Oreochromis niloticus: one gene and its partner. The protein of the gene in region 1 interacts with the protein of each later gene in a pairwise test. Links are inferred from orthologs where the notes say so. Each region holds a gene or a part of one and is shown in the gene's direction. Other genes may lie near its edges. The genes, in order: rad54b and ribc2.

The links.
Region 2: the proteins of rad54b (region 1) and ribc2 interact in a two-hybrid assay, tested with the Homo sapiens proteins (2 studies listed by BioGRID and IntAct). The two-hybrid records come from large-scale screens. The link is inferred for Oreochromis niloticus from reciprocal best matches to the Homo sapiens genes RAD54B and RIBC2.

The regions. Positions count from the first base shown.
Region 1 is NC_031976.2:20,049,696-20,060,932, reverse strand, and holds the start of rad54b (DNA repair and recombination protein RAD54B), read left to right. Parts: upstream 1-6,445; 5' UTR 6,446-6,562; intron 6,563-7,564; 5' UTR 7,565-7,575; coding exon 7,576-7,722; intron 7,723-7,860; coding exon 7,861-8,047; intron 8,048-11,237. Other genes in the region: virma (protein virilizer homolog), read left to right, coding at 1-347; rnf41l (RING finger protein 151), read right to left, coding at 1,160-1,564, 2,783-2,903, 2,986-3,148, 3,483-3,509, 3,857-3,996, 4,154-4,359. UniProt on the Homo sapiens protein: Involved in DNA repair and mitotic recombination. May play an active role in recombination processes in concert with other members of the RAD52 epistasis group.
Region 2 is NC_031972.2:62,001,713-62,013,334, reverse strand, and holds ribc2 (RIB43A-like with coiled-coils protein 2), read left to right. Parts: upstream 1-6,991; 5' UTR 6,992-7,092; coding exon 7,093-7,209; intron 7,210-7,299; coding exon 7,300-7,381; intron 7,382-7,476; coding exon 7,477-7,797; intron 7,798-7,888; coding exon 7,889-8,007; intron 8,008-8,104; coding exon 8,105-8,278; intron 8,279-8,386; coding exon 8,387-8,553; intron 8,554-8,559; exon of another isoform or gene 8,560-8,636; coding exon 8,637-8,706; 3' UTR 8,707-8,890; downstream 8,891-11,622. Other genes in the region: ada2a (adenosine deaminase 2-A), read right to left, coding at 9,550-9,640, 9,729-9,931, 10,045-10,202, 10,371-10,479, 10,613-10,703, 10,941-11,068, 11,180-11,393. UniProt on the Homo sapiens protein: Microtubule inner protein (MIP) part of the dynein-decorated doublet microtubules (DMTs) in cilia axoneme, which is required for motile cilia beating.

The DNA.
Region 1 (11,237 bases):
CTCCACGCGGCAGAGGAGGTACCGGCCTGTCTTGGATTAGCGGCGGAGGAGGTGGCGGCGGTGCTGGGGGAGGTGCCGGGGAGGCGGTGGAGGGGGAAGAGGATCTCAGGGGAGCAAGTTCAGCGGTGGAGGAGGGAGCGGAGGTGGGAGGGGCAGACATGTTCGCTCCTTCACCAGGTAAATCCACCTGGACAATGACTGCAGCCTCTCACGGCAACAAAAGGGCCAATCAGGATATTATATATGCTGTCTCCATGGAAACGTGGTGGTATGATGTTGTCACAAATAATGTACAGACTGTGTTGATGTTTTCAGTTTTGTTATTATTAGCTGTATTCAGAAAATAAAAGTGATAGCAAAATGAGGCCTTTGTGTGTTTTTAAGGGAATGTCAAATAAATAAATCATCTGTGGTTCTCAGATAAAATGATTCAAATGTGATCCCTCTTGTGCTGTCTGTCGCTGTGTCTGCAGAATTATTCAGTTTTTCCCCAGTTTTTTTTTTTTTTTGTTGGTGGTGGTGTTTTTTGTTATTTCTAAGGCTGATCTCATTTAAAGCTACAAACCCTGAAACTGTTCGAAAAGGAGCACAAAACCAGTGGTATACAGGCACGGTTGATATTATGGAAACTTGAACTATGCGGTCATGTGGGACTAACATTAATATATCTTAAATAGGTGGAATATGTGACCTTTAAACCTTAAAAATTGGAACCATGAAATAATTGCCAGAAAATTCAATTTTTTTTGAAAATTCAGTTTTTATTGAACTTTCTCTCCCATTGAAAAAAATTCAACATAATTTTTTTTAAACTTGTCTATTTTTTGCATTCTCAATTTCACAAAAACCCACACTGAATCGTTATGGGGTTAACTTCAGTTGTAAAAATACAGGTTTGGTGATTCCAACTTCTTGAAGCTCACTGACGACACATTTAAAATGACGTCAGGTGGTTCAAAATAATGGTTTAGTCTGATGTCATGGTCAAATAATAATAATCTCTATTGGGGGTCTGAAGGAAATCCAACACACAAAGACCTGCTCTTTAAGCATTAAAAACACAGCGTAACAAAACCTTCCTTTTGTAACACGTTTTACCAAAACCCTAATTTTGTTGCTAAATAATAAAAAAATAAAGATTTCATATATTGCAGCTTTTTCAGATCACCGTCACCTCCCTGCTCTTCTTTTTGATGCAGTCCAAGGTCAGACTCCGGGTCCCACCCTTGCGCCCTCCCTCACCCAGCTGTGGTGATGGGGGTGGGCCTGATGCATGTGAAGCCTGGGCTGAATGCAGTGATAGACTGGAGGCATGTGAAGAAGCCTCTCTCTGTTGCTGTCTGGTTGGCTCGGTGTGGAGTTCCCAGCCTGATGTCTGTGCCTCTCCCTGATGCTGGTCCCTGGCTGCCTGTTCAGTGGGATTCTGGCTCCTGGTGGGCTGCAGGTCTCTGAGGAGCTCTAGCAGTTCTCTCTTTTCCAGCTCTGCCTCTGCCAGCTCTTGTCTCCTCAAACGCTCTGCACCTAGCAGCGCACGCATGTCACACATCACACGGGATAGCTGACCCTGCACAGACAGGATATGACGTGAAGCAATAGAGTAGTTTTACGTGTGATGCCAATTTCAGCCAGGCTTTAGCTCCTGGACAGATGTCCTCGCATTTGACTCTAGAACACTTTGGTTTACAGAGGAGTTCATGGTTAACTCAATGATTACAAGGTACATTCCAGTGAATACAAATCCAGCCCAAATTCACCACCACCACCACCACCACCATTGTGCTTCATAGTTAGTGTGACATGCTTGTGCTGATATGCTATGTTTGAGTTCCTCCAAATATTCATCTCATCTGTCCAGATTACATCGTCCCAGAACTCTTTGTTCAAACTTAAGCTGTGCTGCCATTTTTAAAGAGAAGATGCTTTCGCCTGCAACCCTTCCAAACACGCCATACTTAATTGTGCTGTCATGAACTTCAACTTTTAATAAGCTGCAGCATGTAGAGTCTGAGATGTAGTTTGAGGGGGTTTCTTTTGTTGTTGTTTTTACAGTTTCTCTCAGCACTGCACAGTCTGACACTGGGATATCCACTCCTGGGAAAACTGGCAACTGTCTTGAGTGTTTTCTGCTCATAAGTAATTTTCCTTGCTCTATAATTGTGGACTTCAAACTGTTTGGAAATTACCGTATAACCTTTCCCAGATTGTTTAATATCATTACTGATGTTATTCCCCATTGGCATTGTGTTAACACACATCTTATGTATGCTCCAAAACAGCAAACTGCCTGCTTCATTTAGAGATTTTCATGCCAATTAAGTGCATTTGATTATCTGCATGTGGCTTCATTTCCCTCTTAAATCCTGTGGATCCAGTAAAACTGTACATACACTGCTTCTGCATTTTGGCTTAGTTTTGTTATGTGATATGTCATTTAGCTGTGTAGTTCACCTAAGGTTGTATCTATTAACCTGCTATGGACCAGATTATTTTTGAAATGACCGATATGTGAATCCTCAGAAGAGGGTGTACATTTTACTACTGTGATTTTATGTGCATAAAAAAAGATCCATAAACTGCCTCCATTTATAGGCCTGAGCTCAGTCCAGACTTGTAAAAACATTTTGCTTTCAAACTTTCAGGATTTTTTCTACAACTGTTTAAATGATTTACAAAACACTACATTGTACTTTCATAGTAAATGTATCCCAAGGTCATAAATCTGCGCTTTAGTACTACTCATATAGTAAATCTGTTGCATTTATGTGGTAACATGGCATTTCACCTTGAGCTCCTCCACCTCGTTCTTCAGCTGAGACTCTTTCTGCACCATGTGTCTCCTCTGCGAGTCCAGCCGAGACTCCATCTCTCTTCTCACCTCTTCCACCTTGCACAGCATCTCCACCCTACAGTCGACATTTAATGAGACCACATTATGGTGGTGGTGTTACCTCTGAGTTTAGGCTTAGGAGACAGCACTGAGCTTACCTGAGCATCTCCACCTCAGTGCGCAGCTCCGCTACACAGTTATGTTGTGACTGGTCGATGGAGAGCAGCGTGTGGCCGCAACCATTGGGACACTCCCTGCTGCGAAAGCTACATTCTGACAGGTGAGCCTCCAAGCCCCGCCTCTCGACCTGCACGGGACAGCCTGAGAGGGAAAAGTCACAAGGGTGCAAATGCCTTGCATGGAGCCACCAGGTTATCAGTGTATAAGACAGGCTTCTAAAGCATCTTCACAAAGATGAAATTTATTTGCAGGCATGAATTTTTCCATAAAAATCATCTGTGTGTACGAGGAGGAGATAATCTACTAACACCACCAAAAATGTACTTTGTAAACACTTTGTGTATCCAAAGTAGAGTTATTAAATCTACAGTGTAGTCACAGATCACTGCAGTCACACAACAGCAGAAATTTCAGGTGATTTTAGTGACTTAAACTGCACAACGCATGCACACACACCGCATGTGATTCAACCTACCACAGTGGTAACATATGTACTCTCCACCTGCCAAAGACAGGTCACAGACACATGGTGAGCACAAAAGCGCACACTTGCACGTACATGTCTCAAACAGACCTTAAAATCCCTCATTAAAGAATGAATGAACGCCGACCCTCACACAGTGCTCTCTGTGTGAGGCTTGTGGGAGCTTTCAGTCCCAAAAGTGCACCTGTTCCTGGGGTAGCCAAGACAACAACAGGGCCCACCTGTTGTCCACCCCCACAGACGTTTCACATTACAGTTGTAACATACACATCCATGAGGATAGCAGTTTGACTTTTACTGTCATAAAGACTCATAAAAACACATTGCATGAATAGTGTTTTGTCCGGTGTGATGTTGTCATGTACCTGTGTTAGCGCAGGATATGAAGGCAAACTCGCACTCGTCCTCGTGTGAGTGGAGGCTCTCCAGGGAGCAGACCACCTCACACCCCTGTGCTGCATTCACACAGCGGATCTGCAGACGGTTCAGATCATTACGCATGTACCTGCAATCAAACCAACACAGACAGAAACTCTTACAGTGAGAAAAGCAGGATACTGTTATAATGCTACTGACTTGCATAAACTTATCTGCAAAACTTAAGAGTGCATGATTACGAGGAAGTGAAGGAAGCAGCACAACTGCAGGAGACGGAGACTGACCTGTACAGTGGTTTGAGGCTACCCACATCCAGTGGCAGTCTGTCCTCAGGACAGGAGTGGTGATGGACCAGCCAGGTGCTGATGCAGGAGCTGCAGTAAGCATGTTCGCAGGGTGCCTGGAGGGGGCGCTCCAGCACGTCTCGACACACACAGCACAGTAGACCCTCATTCACGTAACCTACAAACCTCTCCAGATCATAGCCCATCCTAATAAAAAAAAAAAAAAAAAAGTTAAACAGATTAAACAACACATGAGGAAAGCAGGAAGCAGTCTTGTTTCCTCATTTGTTTATTTTCTTTTTATCTTACCTCAGATGTCAACTTTCACTTCAACCAACTCCTTCTTCCTTCTTTCTGCAGGTTTTGACTCCACTTGTTCCTCCACGGGCAACCTGCCGTCCTATCTCTGCCACATCCTCGCTCTTAACACCATCAAGGTGAGGGTCTCCTCTCCTTTGAAGCCCTCCCCTACCTTTGAGAGTGCGTCTCTGTGGAGAGGTAACCCTGACAACAAGGGTTCAGGACACAGGAAGGCAGCTGTCAGACGGGACCAGATCAGATGAGAGAGACAGGCCGAATTACAGTAAAACACTGAACACTGAGTCTAAAGCAGACAAATTCTGCAGCAGTGTTGTTGTCTAGCTATTAAAAACCTGTGTTGCTGTTGTGAAGCATTCAGAGATTACTGCTGTCCTTCAGCTGTTTTTCTCTCTCTTAATGACCCACCCGATCCTAGGTTTCTCTCTCTCACTCTCTCTCTCTCTGAATGTGGGATTAAGATGGATTACACTCTCTCCCTCCATGATTGGATTACAGACTCAATATCAGATGGCCCAAGAATGGATGATCACAAAAATCAAAGAGCACCCCAAATGCCTGGACTCATCATCCTGTTCTCTTTATATCCTCTCAGTAAGACTTATAATCACACAAATAGTAATTCAAAATGACCCCGTACCAAGTAAAGCTCTCTTATGCATACATCCTCTGAAAAAGTATTTCCCCCTTCCTGGTTTCTTAGTTTTTTGTGTATTTTCACACTTAAATCTTTCAGATCATCAAACTAATTTTAATGTTAGACAAAGATCAATGCAAAATACAATTTAGATGATTTTATTTATTAATAAAAAAGCCATCCAAACCTACCTGACCCTATGTGAAAAAGTTATTGCCCCCTTTATTAAATCATGAATTAGCTTTGATTAACCACACCCGGGCCTGATTACTGTCAGACCTGAATCAATAAATCATTTAAACAGAACCTGTCTGACAAAGTGAAGTTGGGTGAAAGAGCTCAAATAGTAACACATCATGTCACCGTCTAAAGAAACCATGAACAGATGAGAAACAAAGTTTCATCTATCATCCTCGAAAGGGTTACAAAGTCATTTCTAAGACTTTGGGATGCCAGTGAACCATAGTGAAAGTCATTATACATACAGTAAATGGAGAAATCTTGATGATCCTCAAGACAAAAGTTTAACTTTCTGGAAGGTTTGAGTCTGGTTACTTCTGCATAAAATTAACTGCATAAAACTAACACTTCATTAAAAAGCATCATATCAACAGTCAAACATGGTGGTGATAGTGTAATGGTCTGGGGCTGCTTTCCTGCTTTAGGACCTGGATGATTTGCTGTAATTGATGGAACCATAAATTCTACTCTCTACCAGAAAATCCTGAAGGAGAATGTCCGTTCTTACCCTGAAGCTCAACCTCACTTGAATTATGCAGAAAGGTTTGGAGGTTTGGATAGGTTTTTCTCCCCCTTAATAAAGGTCCTGTCAGTATTATCATTTAATATCAGTATTAATAATTAATATTATTAAATATCAGTATAATTAAGTATTAGTGAAAATAACTTAATACAACTACTATATAAGTATTACTTTCAGGTACCCTCAAATTGAGTAATTTGCGGTAAATTTTGAGAAGTTGACACGTTTGCCTTAGCCTTGCAAAAAACATGTGAGGCGAGTTTACTGTGGTGGCTGTGCTAGTGAAATAAAATATTACGAACAGCAGCTTACTTAAACGGTTATACCAATATTTATATTTCCCAAATATTCCTCCTTTCACGCTTTCACTGTGATTTAATGAAGGGGTGAAGTGAGTAGTAGGTGAGCTCGATTCACAAGTTATCGATCGACCGGTTGCTGAAATTCAAGCGGGATATAGACTCCATTGAATGTGACGGCCAAACTGTAGGGACAGAAGAACCAAACGTACCCTTTCGTTTTAACCACGCCCATTTGTATTGGTTCGCCCAATCAGATTCTTCAAGCTGTTCAGCGGGAGAAACTGAACCGATGCTAGAGTCACTGAAGAGGAAAGACAAGACGAGTTCTGTTGCAATTGAGTTAAAGGCTGCAATGTCAGGTGTTTTCATCTAACTTTTAGCTCGTCGGGGTATGTACAATACGTTGTCACACATTATCTGACTTGATAATGAAGCCTAAATTAGACTTCCAACCGCGTTATTATCATCTTTATGCTAGTGTTAGCTAGCTGGCTGTGTAACAGGTTCATGTTGCTATCGAGAAATTATCGTGATATGCCGATTATTCCAGTATAAGCAGGAATTGAGGACGCGAAAAAGCTAGAAAGCCATCAGAGGGATAGTGACCCGAAGGATTTATGTATGATAAAAAAAGGATTGAGTGAGTTATGTTCGTCTCGATATGCACAGTTTACCCAGTGCAGAATTTACATATGCAAATAATCCAAGTTTTCATTTTTTTGCTATTAATAGAGACAAATCATTAGCTAGATGTGTTTAAATAATGCTAAAGGACTGTGACATTAAAAGGAAAAGTGTTGGAGTTGGATTTGTTTTGAGCTAACGAGATAGTTTTTGCTACATGCCTCCTACGAAGTTATTAAAGTGAGTACCTTTGAGGAAGGTGTTTTTTTTTCTTTTTTCTTTTTTTCCCCTGATATTAAACCGTTTGTAATAAGCGGTAATCATGCAGTAACGCCTCAAGGCAAGTCCAGGTGTTTGTTGGGATTTTGTGTCAACCAAATGTTACTGTATTTGCATAAAACGTAATGCATGAAATTTACTATATTAGTGTGCATAAATTCCCCTTATAGTTTGTGAGGAGGTAAAACTGATCACTGATCAGAAATATACACAAAAGAAGAGAAAAGCAGTCAGGAGGAAGCTACCCATCTTCTAGCTTTATATTAGTGTTTTATTACCGGATGAAACACTGACTTACAGGAGAATGAAACCCACAGTGCAAAAAATACATTTCACGATACTGAATCATATCTCAAGAGGGTTGAAAATTTTGATTTCAGAATGTGCTGTTTTCTGAGTCACTGATTAAACCGGTGCAATAATGTGCTAAGAAAAATAATATAATGGCAGTTATTAATCTGCTTGTATCGGTTGCTTTTTGTCTTTAGGAAAAAGAAAGATGCGGCGCTCTGGAGCTCCCAGCAAGCTCTTGGGTAATGCAGTGAAAAAGCCTCGATTTGTGCCACCTGGTGCATGTACTTCACTTTCTGTGGCTGAATCCAAGCCTCTGACCCCCAAACTTGGTTTAGGCAATGCACTGGATAAAGTAAGTTTTTTTTCTCAACATTTTTCCTACAGTCTTAAACCCTCAGTATTTGTCATCCTAATTTGATTATTTTCCATTATTTTTTTATCACACTCCCTTATATTAGGAATTCTCTTTTGTCCTTACCTCATTTCGCAGGTCCAGAGAAGCCTTGCAACACCAGGTGCAAGTAAAACAGAGTTTAACGTCCAGCCCGAAGCTGCCCCAGCCTTGTCAAAGGTTCTGGCTCGTGTTCTCAGTGCAACTGAGAGTAAGGAAAATGAGGCTGAGACAAAGCATCAGAACCCTGGATTAGGAGCCTCTGCCGAAGACTATAAACCAGCAGGTAAAAAACAAACAGCCATGTAAAGCCTTGTCTTTTTCTTGCCCCATCTTCTCACTTCTTATGTCCAATTTAATAATCATAGCAGCAATATAAAAACTCACAAATGTCAGTTGATTCCTGGAGGGAGATTCTCATAGTTTCAGCAATGTATATCAGGGAATGTGCAAAGACAAATATGGGGACAAATACGTTTGAGAGAGAGAGAGGGAAAAAAAAGACCATAACAAAGAGTGGAAGGCCAGGAGGGAAAGGAGTCTGATGAATCAGATGGACATAACATTGCTCATGATGACTTTTATATTTCTTTTAATTAAACGTAGTTATTTTTTTAAATCACACCCACAAATAGTGAAGGGTTGATGGTGTGATCACTGAGTTATTGCTACAACTTAGAGGTAGAGTTTCAGATAGAATTCTTCCTGTACCATGATTTAAATATTCCAGCTGTGCCTTGCACCATTTTTCTTGACTGAAAAGACTTCTGTGAAGAGTACACCTGTGTGTCTTTGTTCAAAGTTAATCCAGCAAGCATTCCCCTCTCCTTAAGGAGATGAGGAGATGCAATGTTTGAAAATGAGAAACGCTTCAAGATTTCCACCAGAAAACAAAATCATGGTTCCATTACAAGCTGTTATTTAAGCTGGATAGCTCCTAAATCAAAACAAGACTTCCAATTAGTTTTTAATTAAATGCAGGTGAGATTAAAAGCTAAACCAATTAACCCTGTGTGTTACAATGACAAAGACAGTGCAAGCCTCAGCATGCAGCATACCTGATGCCTCATTAGGTCTAGGTAGTTTAGTCATGAAGGTTCTACTGAAATAGCCGTTTCTGTTTCATTAGCTCTCAAGTGACCAAGCTGTGGGCTCCGTTATATTTTATACATTAATACTTTTTAATGGGACTATTCTTGTTTTTGATCATTTTACTTTATTTATGACATATATTCTAAAATGTGGTTAATTATGGTTTTCAATCGTTTTTATGTAGAAAGAATTTGGGTTAGCCTCAAGGCGTCTACAGCAATAAATCTATGCAAGGTTTCATTTTGCTTTATTGCTAATCATTTTTTTTGCATATTTGTCACACTTACATGTTTGACATCATCAAATACATTTTAACATTAGAAAAACACAACCCAAGTAAATACAAAATGAAGTGGGGGTTTTTTTTATGATGATTTTATTCATTAAGGGGAAAAAGCTGTCTAAACCTACCTGATCCTGTGTGAAAAAAGTAATTGCCCTTGAACTTAATAACTGCTTGTGCCATCCTTGGCAGCAAGAACTGCGATCAAGTGTTTGCGATAAGTAGCAATGAGTCTTTAACATCACTACGGAGGAATTTTGGCCCACTCTTCTTTGCAGAATTACTTTAGTTCAGCCACATTGGAGGGTTTTCCAGCATGAGTGGCCTGTTTAAGGTCATGTCGAAGCCTCTCAAACACATTTAAATCCAGACTTTGACTAGGACACTCCAAAACCGTCTTCTTCTTTTTCTTCTTTTTTTTTCTTTCTTTTTTGAGCCATTTTGAGCTGGTGTGTTTTGGATCAATTTCCTGCTGCAGAACCTGAGCTTAAGCTTCAGGGCTCAAAAGGATGGCCGGACATTCTCCTTCAGGATTTTCTGATAGAGAGCAGAATTCATGGTTCAATTGCAGCAAGTCGTCCATGTAGCCGCAGACCATCAGAGTACTGTACTACCACTTTTGACTGTTCGTACGATGCTCTTTTTATGAAATGCTGTGTTACGTCAGATGTAACGGGATTCAAACCTTCCAGAAGGCTCAACTTTTGTGTTGTCAGTCCACAGAATATTTTCCCAAAAGTCTCGAGGATCATCAAGATGTTTTTCTTTGGCAAATGTGAGACGAGCCTTTGTGATCTCTCTGGTCAGCAGTACTTTTCTCCTTGAACTCTCCTATGGATGCCTTCTCTTTCTTATTGTTGAATCATAAACTCTGACCTTAACTGAGGTGAGTGAGGCCTGCAATTCTTTAGATGCTGTTCTGGGTTCTTTTGTGACCTGCTGGATGACTCGTCAATGCACTCTTGGAGTAATTTTGGTAGACCAGTCACTCCTGGGAAGGTTCACCGCTGTTCAGTTTTCTTCATTTGTGGCCGTCAGCGTGGTTCACTGGAGTCCCAAAGCCAAAGCCTGACTGACAGCTGTGACAGTCAGTGACTTTGTTTCTTAGCTGTTTCTTTAGATCGTAGCATGATGTGTTGCTTTATCTTTGAACCTACTTCACTTTGTCAGACAGGTTTTAGTAACTCAGCAGGTCTGGCAGTAATCAGACCCGGGTGTAGACAGAGAAACTGAACTCAACTTTCTAAAAATTGTGGTTATTCAATTAATTTATGATTTTACAAGGGTGGCAGTTAATTTTTCATGTAGACTCGGATAACTTTTCCCCCTTAATACATTATAATTTAAAAACTACTTTTTGAATTTACTCAGGTTATTTTTGTCTAATATTTAAATTTGTTTGATGATCTGAAACATGTAAATGTGACAAATATGCAAAAGATGAGGAAGGGGGACAGATGTTGACACACTACTGCAATTTTTTTGCCTCGGGCAAAAAGCATCATGTATATTAATGTGTACATACAGAATAATACTGATTCTGTTGCCTTTTTAAAAGAAAGACAGAGATGATACAAACACTGTCACCTTGAACACAAAGCTCTGCTGTATCTTGAGCCACACCATCCACTTTGCATTCACAGCCACCCACAGTCCATATCAGTACATAAGAAGAAATAATAAATAGTAAATAAACAACACAAAAATGTGCAGTGACTAGAACACAAACCGGAAATTCCTCCAGGATTTCTACAAACAATATAATTATAATAATATACAAGATAATATATCATGTTTCTAAACCCTGACCCATAAAATAACTTTCCAACTTTTTAAAAATGTAGCATTTAATGACCCTTCTGACAAAAAAATTATGACGATGACGTTACTAATCACAAATATTTGGCTTGAGGTTGTCGGTCCTAAATGGATCATTCAGGATGTGAAGCTTTTTCATGTTTGCTGTGTAAAATGAGGTACGGCTGGCCCAAAAGAGAATTTACAGCTACTGGCCTGTCCATGTAATTTATAACACTGTGTTATAAATTACATGGACATCATCATCATCACCACCACAGTAGCGATTATTCCTCATAATATG
Region 2 (11,622 bases), on another chromosome or scaffold:
CAATGTTAATTCTATTTTCCTCAAGGACACCTTTACATATTCTGTAAAAGTACACATTAAAGTCAACAAGTTAAATCATTTTATCTTCAAAAGTTAATGTGCTTTATATATCATATTTTATTTACTTTCCCTTTATACAAAATAAAACAAAAGAATAAAAAACAAAAACAACTACCACAACAACAACAAAGAGAAAAAAAAGTAACACAATAAGCAGTCTGAGACATGTAAACGGAAAACTAATACAGTATATATGATTCGGTCTACCAGTCATTTACACATTTGTCCTGACAAACTCAACCCGCCACTGGAGTGGGGCTGCCCCTCTCACTATGGTTTTCTTCAGACCATCAGGTAAGTAATCCAATAGCGGGTGCCATATATCCAAAAGAATATCATCATTGCCACTTAATTTTGCACTCAGTCTTTCCATTGGTAAACTCTAAAGATTTCTTTATACCACTGAGTTATTGTTGGTGGTTTTTCATTAATCCAATTGAAAAGAATACATTTTCTTGCCAAAAACAATAATTTCAATAGTAGTTTATATTTGTTTTTATCTGGAAATTTGTTCAGAGTTGGCAGCCCCAATAAATACTGAGCTGGATCTTTTTGTATTCTGCTTTTAAATATACCTTTTAATTCTTTTGTTACACAGAGGCAGAATTTTGAGATTTTTGAGCAAGTCCAAAGACAGTGCACGTAGGACCCCGCCGCAGATTTACATTTAGTACATTGTGCTGACCTGCTTGGATCAATTTTATTCAGAAAAATAGGTGTTCTATACTGTCTATGTAAAATTTTATATTGTATTTCTTTAAATCTGTTACTGAGAAATAAAGAATGCACAGATTGTATGCACTCACTCCAGGCATGATCATCACACTGACACTGGAGGTCACCCTCCCAACTCCTAATCAGTTTTCCAATATTATGTTTGTTATAACCTTGTAGTGCATTGTAAAACTGTCTTATAGTACTATTATCTGCATTTAAGTGTAAAAAGAAATTTTCCATGGGTCCTAGTTGCATTGTATTGTGCAAAGTATCAAAACTTGAAGTAATTAAGTGACAAGCCTGTAAAAATGCAGAAAATTCCATTTGATGTATTCCATATTTCTTTTGGACCTGCTCAAAAGACATACAAACATTCCCATTAAACAGATCACCCACCACACGTATTCCTGCACCAAACCATCTCTGAAATACTGCACTTTTCATTCCCAGTGTAAAGTGCAGATTATTTATAAAAGGTGTTAGATAACTCAGTATAGGATTACTTTCAGTGTATTTATTCATATCACACCATGTTTTTAAGTAAGTATCAATCATTACTTTGTTATGTTTTTTAATATATTTACTCACTATTTCGGTTAGGAGATTAAATGGCGAACATGTCCAGGCTTCTAGGAGATTCTCTGTCTCTTTTAGATATGCGTGGATCCATTCATGTATAACTCTACTATGGCATGACCAGTTATACAGCAAAATGTTAGGAAAGGCAAGACCCCCTTTATCTTTGGGCAGCGGTAACGTTTTCATACTTAATCTGGGTTTCTTACCCCTCCAAATAAACCTTGACATATCTATTTCAATTTCTTTTACAATTTTTTTGGTCAGTGTTATCGGGAGCATTTGTAAAGGATATAAAAACTGTGGCAACACATTCATTTTAATTAAATTTATTCTCCCCATCCAAGAGACCAGGAGATCCATCCATCTAGCAAGATCTCTTTTGACGCTTTTATGAACTATGTCTATGTTCTGTTTCAATATACTTTTTATATTAGGTGAAATGTGTATCCCCAAGTACTTAAATCCAGAACCCGACCAGGTAAATGGGATATTGCATGTCATAGGCAAATTTCCCAGTGGCATAGCAATAGTTTTGTTCATATTAACCTTATACCCGGACAAATATCCAAAAGTTTCTATAGTAGATAATACAGAGGGTATAGAATCCTGGGGATTGGTGACAAACAGCAGAACATCGTCTGCGTATAGTAAAATTTTAAATTCAAATCCTTGAATTTGGTATCCAGATATATTTTGATTATTTCTAATGGCCTCTGCCAGTGGTTCAATTACTAAAGCGAAAATTAATGGGGAAATCGGGTCCCCCCTGTCTTGTTGATCTCTGTAAACAGAATTCTGATGATTTAATACCATGAACTACAACACATGCTCTTGGGGTGACATATAACAATCTGATCATGTCTATAAAGCCCCTGCCCAAGCCAAATTTCTCCATCAAAAGTTAATGTGCTGGAAACAGGAAAAAGGACAAGCGCAAGAATTTGAGAGATTTTCACAAGGACCAAATTGGGATGGCTGGACGACTGGGTCAGAGCATCTCAAACCTGCAGCTTTTGTAGGCTGTTCCCAGTCTGCAGTGGTCAGTATCTACCAAAAGTGGTCCAAAGGAGGAACAGTGGTGAACCAGGGTCCAAAGCTCATGGTCAGAAAATGCTGGCCTGTGTTGTCATGTCCAATAGACGAGCTACTGTAGCTTAAATTGGTGAAAAAGTTCATGCTTGTTTTGGTTCTAAAACTAATGAAGAGGCATCTTTTAGCCATTATGCTCCAAGTTTAGGACGAGTCTACCTGATAACCCACGTGCTGCTGACACTGTTGAGATTTTTAGAACCAAACTCAAGTATTTTCTTTTTAGTTTGGGTTGTGTCTATTTTCATTGCATTATTTGTTTACATGTTTATTCCCCTCTTTCATCTTACTTGCCTTTATATTCACCTTTTACTTTTTCCCCTCCAGCATTTCCAAATGACAAGGTGGTGTCTAATGTCCAGGCAGGGCTGTAGGATTGAAGGAGTGATGAGATGGTGTAGTGAAGGGACATGTGTGTAGTTTTATTTTCTGCTTTTTATGAATAGAGCACTTTGAACTGCATCCTTATTGTCTGAAAAGTCCTGTATGAATAACATATTGACTGACTGAAAGGTTTCAGCATCAAATGCTGCGTATGTTTGTGTAGCTGTAGACAAGTCCATGCTGTCCAAACTGACCCCCATCTATTGCCAAATCCAATGCAATGGAAAAAGCTGGCCTGGTCTGATGAATAATACTTTCTTTAACATCACGTGGATGGCTGGAGCGTGTGTCGCTTAGCTGGGGAATGCATGGTACTAGGTTGCACTTTGGGAAGAAGCCAAGCCGGCAGAGGGAGTCAGCGTAATCGTTGGGCAATGTTCTATTGGGAAACATTGGCCATCCATGTGGATGTTATACTTTGACACATCACCTACCTACACTGTTTCAGAACATGCCTACCATTTCATGCAAATGGCATTTCCTCATGGCAATGCCAACAGGAACTTTCCTTTCACATGTTAAGACTTTATTTCTTGCTCTGTGGCATCTCTTATGTTAATTTTAGATTTAGACATGATTGATTTTTAGGATTGTCCGACTGGTTTGTGTCAGCACAACAGAAAAGCACACTTGAATCAGATGTTCTAATAATATCCAAGTTGGTGGCACAATAGCATTAAAAAACAATTTGTTAAACTGGATATACTGTACGATTATTGAAAATGCATGATTGTGGACATCCTTGTGTAGGAAATAGACCCAACACAAGATGAAAGATTTCCTATTAAAACTTTACCAACAACTTAAGCAACCAATGTCATCATGTCCAAAAACACATTATAGAGTCAGCAGATGCTTGCTAATTGAGGGAAATGTTTACTTAACCGAAAAGATGAAGTTTGGGATCCCTGTCAATAGAAAAATGTGCCAGCGTCACTACAATAAATGAGCCAAATACAGGCTGCATACCTTCTGCGTATGGCAGCATGAGGGTATAAAAAGAGTGATTCAGTACTTTGTTCTTTAAACTCACTGTTCTCACGATAGCTAGGGCAGCCAAAATTTGCCAACAACGCCACCTTGGGAATTCCACCCAAATAAATGAGTAGAAACACCAGTAAGGTACACAGATTTGTTCCTCTAGTATGAGGCAGAAGACCAGAGTTCACAATTCAAACTTTGAATTTTATTACACAAGGAAAAACATCGTTTTAAAACTGTACACATTCAATCATACTGGAAAAGGGAGTTTGTGTTCAGGACTGAGACTTACCAGCAGATGATGATGATCACTGAGTACTAGAAAGGGCAGCTTATACATACCTGACCTGCTAAACAACTCTCACCTGGACGGGAGAGGAGCACCTCCCGACCCAGGTGACGCAACATGCCAATGATTTCTACCATGTAAATAGCCCACGTCAGAATAGTTTAGGTCCAAAACTAACAATAGTGCTAACAACGCGTTACATACCTCTTCTATTGTATTGTGCGCACCTGAGAAAGAGTGGTAAATGCCCCACCCCAACAGCAACAGGAGATGTGACAGCAAAAGGCCTCTAAGTGGGAAACCAAGTTAAATTAAGCAGACAAAACATCCTTCGTCTGTGCAACGGGCACAACATGTGTACGGCGTCAATGCACCTTAAAACATGCAGCCCACCAAACAGCGAGCGACAACAGATGATTGAGGTGATAGAGCCTCATTATACAGACACAGCGCCCCTGCTGGAAATAGGTCAGCATATTCAAAACAGGCATGCTTGCTCATAGATAGCTAATGAGTACCAGAATGTTACTGGAGATGCACTTTTTACTTTCTCATCTCAACTGTTTTCCCACCAAACCACGGAGATGACTTCGATGAGCATGGGGAAATGTATCATCAAGATACAAAAGTGATGGAAAACCAAAAAACACACACACACATAAAACATATTAAGGATTGTAAAACATAAAACTGTTGTTGGAACCACACACATATATGAAGAGAGAGAGTATGCATAGCATGCAAATGGCTACCAAACAGCCATCATAATTCGTCATACAATGAGAACCGGACAAATCAAGAATTGACAATGACTAATTAATATTGTGCTGAACACAGTCCAAAAGATTCAGTCAGCTACATCAGTGCCTACTGTTTACTATCATAGCCAAGTGGCTAACAAACGTAAACAGACGTTTTCACTATCCCTACTAATTAATGTTATCCTGTTGTATCTCTGTTGTGGTCAGTGCCATCCTCTATGGTGTTGCATGCTGGGGCAGCAGGTTGAGGGTCACAGATACCAACAGACTAAATTAACTGATCCACAAGGCCAGTAATGTTGTGGGGATGGAGCTGGACTCCGTTAGGGTGGTGTCTGAGAGGCGAATGTTGTCCAAGATAAAGACAATGCTGGATAATACCTCCCACCCACTCCATGATATGCTGGCTAGCCACAGGAGGATGTTCAGTGAGAGACTGAGATTACCCATAATGCACCACTGAACGACACAGGAAATCATTCCTGCCCGTGGCCATCTCCCTGTACAACTCCTCCATCTAACACACTGTGAACACTGCAATAGTTACACCCTTTTTACACACGCTCTTTTCTACTCTGTAATATTCTTGTCAATTTTCTTGATAGTTATTTATAATCACCTCTGTTAATTCTTGATATTTATAATTGAGTGACCTGTATATATTAGTGCTATTTCTTAAGTGTGTAAAATCTGTAACATAATGTATTGTTTGGAGTTTAGTCTGTTACTGTTACTATTTTTACAATTTCTTCTTGGAGCAACTGTAACCCACACAATTTCCTTAGGGATTAATAAAGTATTCTGAATATGATTCTGATTGTTTCAGGATGACCTGCCATTATCCAATGACACATCTGCTTACCGGTTGCTCGTTTCTCCTCCTCTTCTTTTCTCTTTTTTCTAAACTGAGCACCTGATGGCTTTGAACTTTTCTAGTCCAACTTCCATTGGTTTTAATTTTGCACTCCAGTATGAACACCCATCCCCCAACCCGAGGATCACCACAACATAACCTAACAGACCTACACCTTAGCTCACAGATTCACTTTGTCTAGGTTTTATTTCTGGGATTTCGCACAACCCAGGATTCATTTTAAATTGTCATTGATCCCTTTACCCCTCGTCCTAAAGTGTATATTTATTTTCTTACTCTTCTTATATTTATTGTTTGTTTACTTGCACTGCTGTAACTGGAGCCTCGTCGTCTCGTCTCTCTATATACTGGACTGTATATATCGGAGATGACAATAAAGTTTACTTTGACTTCAGCAGCAGGCGCACCGAGGGCTCTCGCGCTCAGTTTTCGTGTATAGAATTTCGAAAAAACATCGGTGCAGAATATAAGTCTGTATCATAATGTCTGGTGTTTTCGTGTTTGTTTTTATTTTGTTTTATTTTGCGAGTTGGTTATTAGATGCTGCTCCAGCCAGCCAGAGAATCCCCCGCCGCCCCGCCCTCTCCTCTCTGCGCCGCAAGCATCAGGCGCACCTCGCAAACGGAGGGCGCCCTTACTCCCAGCAAATGGGCGATAGAAAACCGATTGGTGCCCATGCCATCCCCAAACTGCGCTGGCATGATGTCGGGGTAGCATGAGTAAATTTTTTTTTTTTTTTTTTTTGCCGATGCCCGTGATGCCGCCCCCACCACGATGCCGCCCCGGGCAACCGCCCGTGTCGCCCGTATCAAAAACCGCTACTGGTTGCGTGTCCCTCAAACATCTTTTCTTTAGAGCTGAAGTGGCAGAAATGCGCTTTAACGCAGAATAGAGACATCAAAACTAAAATGCTTGGAGATGGGAGTTAAAATTCTAGCAGCAGAAAAGGGATCGGTTGGATGGTTTGGTGATGTGGATCTCAAAAACATGACGAGCAAATATGAGTTGGATTGCAAATCTGAAATCAGTGTTGTTGTTGTTTTAAAATAAAAAAAGATAGTTTGTTTTTTTTAATAACCCAGGCCAGTGTTAGTTATTGTTCTGCCATTTTTAATACAGGTCCAAGATTTAATGCCTATCAGTAGGTGGACTCTCGACACCATCCGCGTTGCGACTGGTGTGCTTTCATTGGCTGAAATGTTTCGATCCGAGGCGTCTGGGGTGAATGCTCCGGAAAAAGCCGACGTCGTACGAGGGCTCGCGAACACTCTGGTGTCTTAGCAACCAGTGTGTTTGAACTCCAAGTTTCAGACGGGAGCAAATCCTCAACTAAATGGTAGCCACCGCTGTGAGCCAAAATGCGTAAAACTGAACTACTTTCAATGCGCCTCGCCAGAGCAAGTCTGGAGAAGCGTCACAACATAGAGACTGAAAGAAAAGAAAGAATTTTTAATGAGAAACTGAGGACGATTGGGGTACGTGTGGGTCTGAATTAAACAGAAGTGGAAAGTCTGTGGCAGAGGAGGTTAACGCATTGAGTTTGTCTCTAAATGACTGTTCTACAGGTTGACAAGGAAGCCCTAGATGAGCAGGTGAAAGAGAAAAGGGAACAAGTAGAAGCTGCAAAAAAGGAACAAAACGCCTATGGTGAGTTACTTCAAATTTGTTTCCTGATGTGTGTCATACAATCCTTTATTAAAGTGAACTGTGGTATATGTGTGTGGCATGTGATCGTCATGCAGATGCTGATATGCTCCATTATGGCAAAGTAGCTTGCATTCTCGACAGCCGCCAAATGAAGGAGAAGCGTGCACTGGAAAAAGCCATTGTTGCCTACAGGCAGAAGTACCAGCAGCCTGAAGATCGACAGGAGTATGATCTGAATGATCCCGGCCGTGTTAAAAAAATAGAGCAGAATGATGCACAGATGATGCCTCCTGGCCTGGTGGGTGAAGACCCAGAAAGTAAGGTCAGGCTGCAGAACCAGAGGGAACAGCTCAGAGAGTGGCTCACCCAGCAGCAGACTGAGCAGGCGGTGGAAAGGCATCGACAACAGCTGGAAGGTGGGTTTTGCCTTAAGACCATGCTTAATACACATGCTCAGTTCAAACACAAAAGGCAAGCTCCCGTCATATTTTCTACTGAAATTTTTAGAGCAGCGTTATGACCAAAGCAGAGTAGAAATGGACAACAGAGTTGTGCAACTTCAGAGCCTTGAGATAGAAAGGAGAAAGGCAGCTGCCATCGCCACTAAAGACTTCAATCGGTCTATGGTGAGTGAGAGGAATTTAACTGCATTAAACGCTGCTATAGGCTTCAATAAACATTTTTTATTTCCACCTTATTACTCATGTGTCTCCATGGGAAAAGGCTGAAGAAAAGCGGCGTCAAGACAAGCAAATCAATAGTAGGCAAAGCCAGTTTCAAGGTACCCCGAGTACGGAGGCCGTGCCCGGCCTGAGTCCCAGCAGTGACAGGAGGACACCTCCTGAGAGCCTGCAGCAGATCATTCAAATCCAGAAATATCAAATAGAGGAGAAGAGGGTAAAAAAAAAAAAATTATATCTGCACTCAAACAGTATGGATCATTTCAAAGGTAGCCCATATAAAGCATTTTATCTCCTAATGTGTGTGTTGTCTGTGCACGTAAAGAGAAAAGAACTGGAGAAGAAACAAGAAGAAGAGTGGCACGATCGCGTGCGCCTGAACTCAGCTCGTACCACTCTGCTTATTGAGAGGCAGCAGGCACGAATGAACAGGCAGCTGAGGCGAGACCTGGACAGCGCCAACGCCCAGCTGGCCGAAACACACAAACAACAGTAACGTTTGAGCAAAATTGTTTTTATTAAATTTAACACAGTGTACATTGTCTCACTGTTTTTAACAATGTTTCATTTTTAAGGAAACCAGACATTAAAAGAGGACGTATTGATGACAGCTTCTTCTCCAAGTTCAACACCTGCAGCAGATGAGGGGTGATGCACTGCTCTGATACCAGTGATGGTGTTGCATAAAAAGAACAATGAATAAACGGAATATCACAGTGAATAAACAGCTGCTTTTATGTGAAATGTAGTTCAGAACATTCATGTTTGCATGATTTGAAAAATGTTGATTAAATTTCAGATACTGCTTTAAAAAGTAGCCTCTGAAAGATGATTAGTTTTTGTGTTTCAAGTCTTTCGCAGTTTTGCCTCCATAAGCAAATATTAATTACTAGTCAGTTGAAGGCATAAGTGTTAAAATTATATTCAAGTAAAAAATCTTACAGATGTTTAAAAAAAAATGCTTTCTTTAAAGAAAAATGTTCCATCGGTCATATGATTTAAAACACACACACAAAATATATTTTGTGTGATATATATATCAGATATATATTTTATATATCTGATACATATGCCTGGTTTGATGTGCTTTGGCTAATGTTGCCACCTTTTTATGTTAATGCTAATATATGCAACATGTGAGAGAACTACAGAGAGAAATAAAACAGCAGTTAGCATCTCAATCACTTAAAGCTGTGTGACACTGTTACTGTATTTAACATGGCATTGTGAGTCTGTTTTACCTTTTTTAAGGCTTTTTTTTTTCCACAGTAGGCGACATGTTATGACACATAATTATTTCATTCATTACAAAACATTGTGGGAAACAACACTATATTTGTGCCTACCACAAACCTGCTCAGTGGCTATTTCAGCAGTCTTTGACATTTACACTCATGATTCAGCTTCGACTGTCCTACAAAAGGCCCCTTTCACAGCAGAAAGGACTGCTTGTATCATTGTTTGTCATTTTCAAATACACGTTTCCTACTAAAAGGCATTTTCAGAGACAAACTTATCCCATCTTCTCTGCCACAGAGACAGTGCTTTCTCCTTTTGCTCAGGAGTCAAAGAACTATACCTGAAACACAGACACGGGAACATCAGTCACCTTAAAGCATGCTAGCACACACAGTGCAACTACAAGTAACATCTTAGCAGAACCTCACCTGATAGAGTTTATGGCCAGCTGTTTAAGGGAGCCTACATGGGATCGCATGCCCCCAAAACCAACGAACGCTTCATAGAAGTCATAAGAGAGGCCAAACGCACCAAATATGGCGGGGTCATCAGAGCTGATGACAACCGGGTGGTTTTCAGACATCAGTGCAGCAGCTGGATGGTTTCGCAAGTCTTTGACCAACTTCAACACCTGGGTAAGGGTATGTGGAAGGAGAAGATGAGACAAAGGGTTTTAGCCCACTCACACTACAAACAGGAAAATATTACCATCCGTGTACAGTATAGTGGCAGATAGCAGTGTACCTGGTTGGAGATGGGGCACACCTCCACAGCAACCCCATATTTTCTAGACCACTCTTTGGCGACTGGATGGCGTGTTAGTGCAAATCCATGTCCAATGCGTGACGTATTAAAGAGAAGAGCATCCAGTATGTTCTGATCTATTTCTGTACCCTGAGAATCTGCACACAGTAAAGACAAACAAAATGAATATGACTTCCAAATGCTTTTTTGCACTCCCTGGATTAAACATATAGTAAACTTCACATTTGTGCAATTTTATATATGGGGGTTAAAAAACAAACTTATGATTGTTATACTGGTACACTGGAATCATGATCAATTCTCACTTGTCTCTCCAGCATGGAAAAAGAAAGGAAGTGGGACCCCTCTCGCCACAGGGAGCGACAAGGCATCTCTATAATACCACAGAGGTCGCCCTCCATCCTCCCAACCCACCTGTAACGCAAACACAAGTTTTTGTGCGTACTTGTTTTCAACAAATATAGAAGCCATGATACCTTTTCAGTCCATTTGGGATCTTCCAGCATGTTTTGTTTTCAAGATTTCAAACTGTAAAAGTGTCTCTTACCAGATCAAAACCAGCCATGATATCAGGAAAGTCTCTGTAAAGCTTCATAGCCTCCTCCACAACTTTAAGCATTGTGTTAGTGTTTATTGTCCTGAAATACACAGGAACAGAATACTTTATTAATTCCAGTTGCTCCAAGATGGTAAGAACAGTAACTAAATTAAATAAGTTACAAAATATAACAAAATAGCTCCAATAGTTACAAATACCTCTAATTATTATAGATAGAATTGATCAGCAACTAAATCCACATTTTATCTGTCAGAAGCAGTGTGGAATTAAGAATAAATAGTACAGACTAATTTTTAAAAGCACTCAGAGCAGCAACCTTTTGGCAGTAAAGATGATTCTCACTCCAACAAAGTCAGGATGGTTTGCTACAAATTGCCTTGAGATGTCCTGGCAGGTCTTCAAAGTCCAGGCTCTGTCATAAGTGCGGCCATCCAAATCATATATCTAAATATATCAAAGAAGAACAAATTAACACGTGAGAATCCATTGGGTACATCAGACACACAGAAAAATCAGTACATATAGAGTATAGCTAGAATGTAAGTATTAAAATACCTCTGGAAGTATAGCGCGAAGTTCAAGATACATAACGTTGTCCATGTAGAACTGGCTGAGGCCCTGGTAGAAATAGTCTTTGAACACAGGAGCATAAGTGACCAGACCATACGCTGCCTGGAAGGTCTCTTCAAATATACTCCACACCACAGTCTGAGTGGGGTACACTGCCTCTGGATCCTTATCAGTGAAGAGCGTCAGATTGCCCATGATGCTAAGACCAAGTATGCAGATATGATTGTGATAAGACCAGCAACGAGCTTATACTCCATATATCAAACATACACAAAACATTATATTGTTAACATTTTCCTGAGGTTGAAGTTAAAACTAGGGCTGCTCGATTATGGCAAAAATGATAATCACGATTATTTTCACTGAAATTGAGATCTCGATTATTTGACGATATTTATTTAACAATAATGGCTTTAAAGATTGTCAAA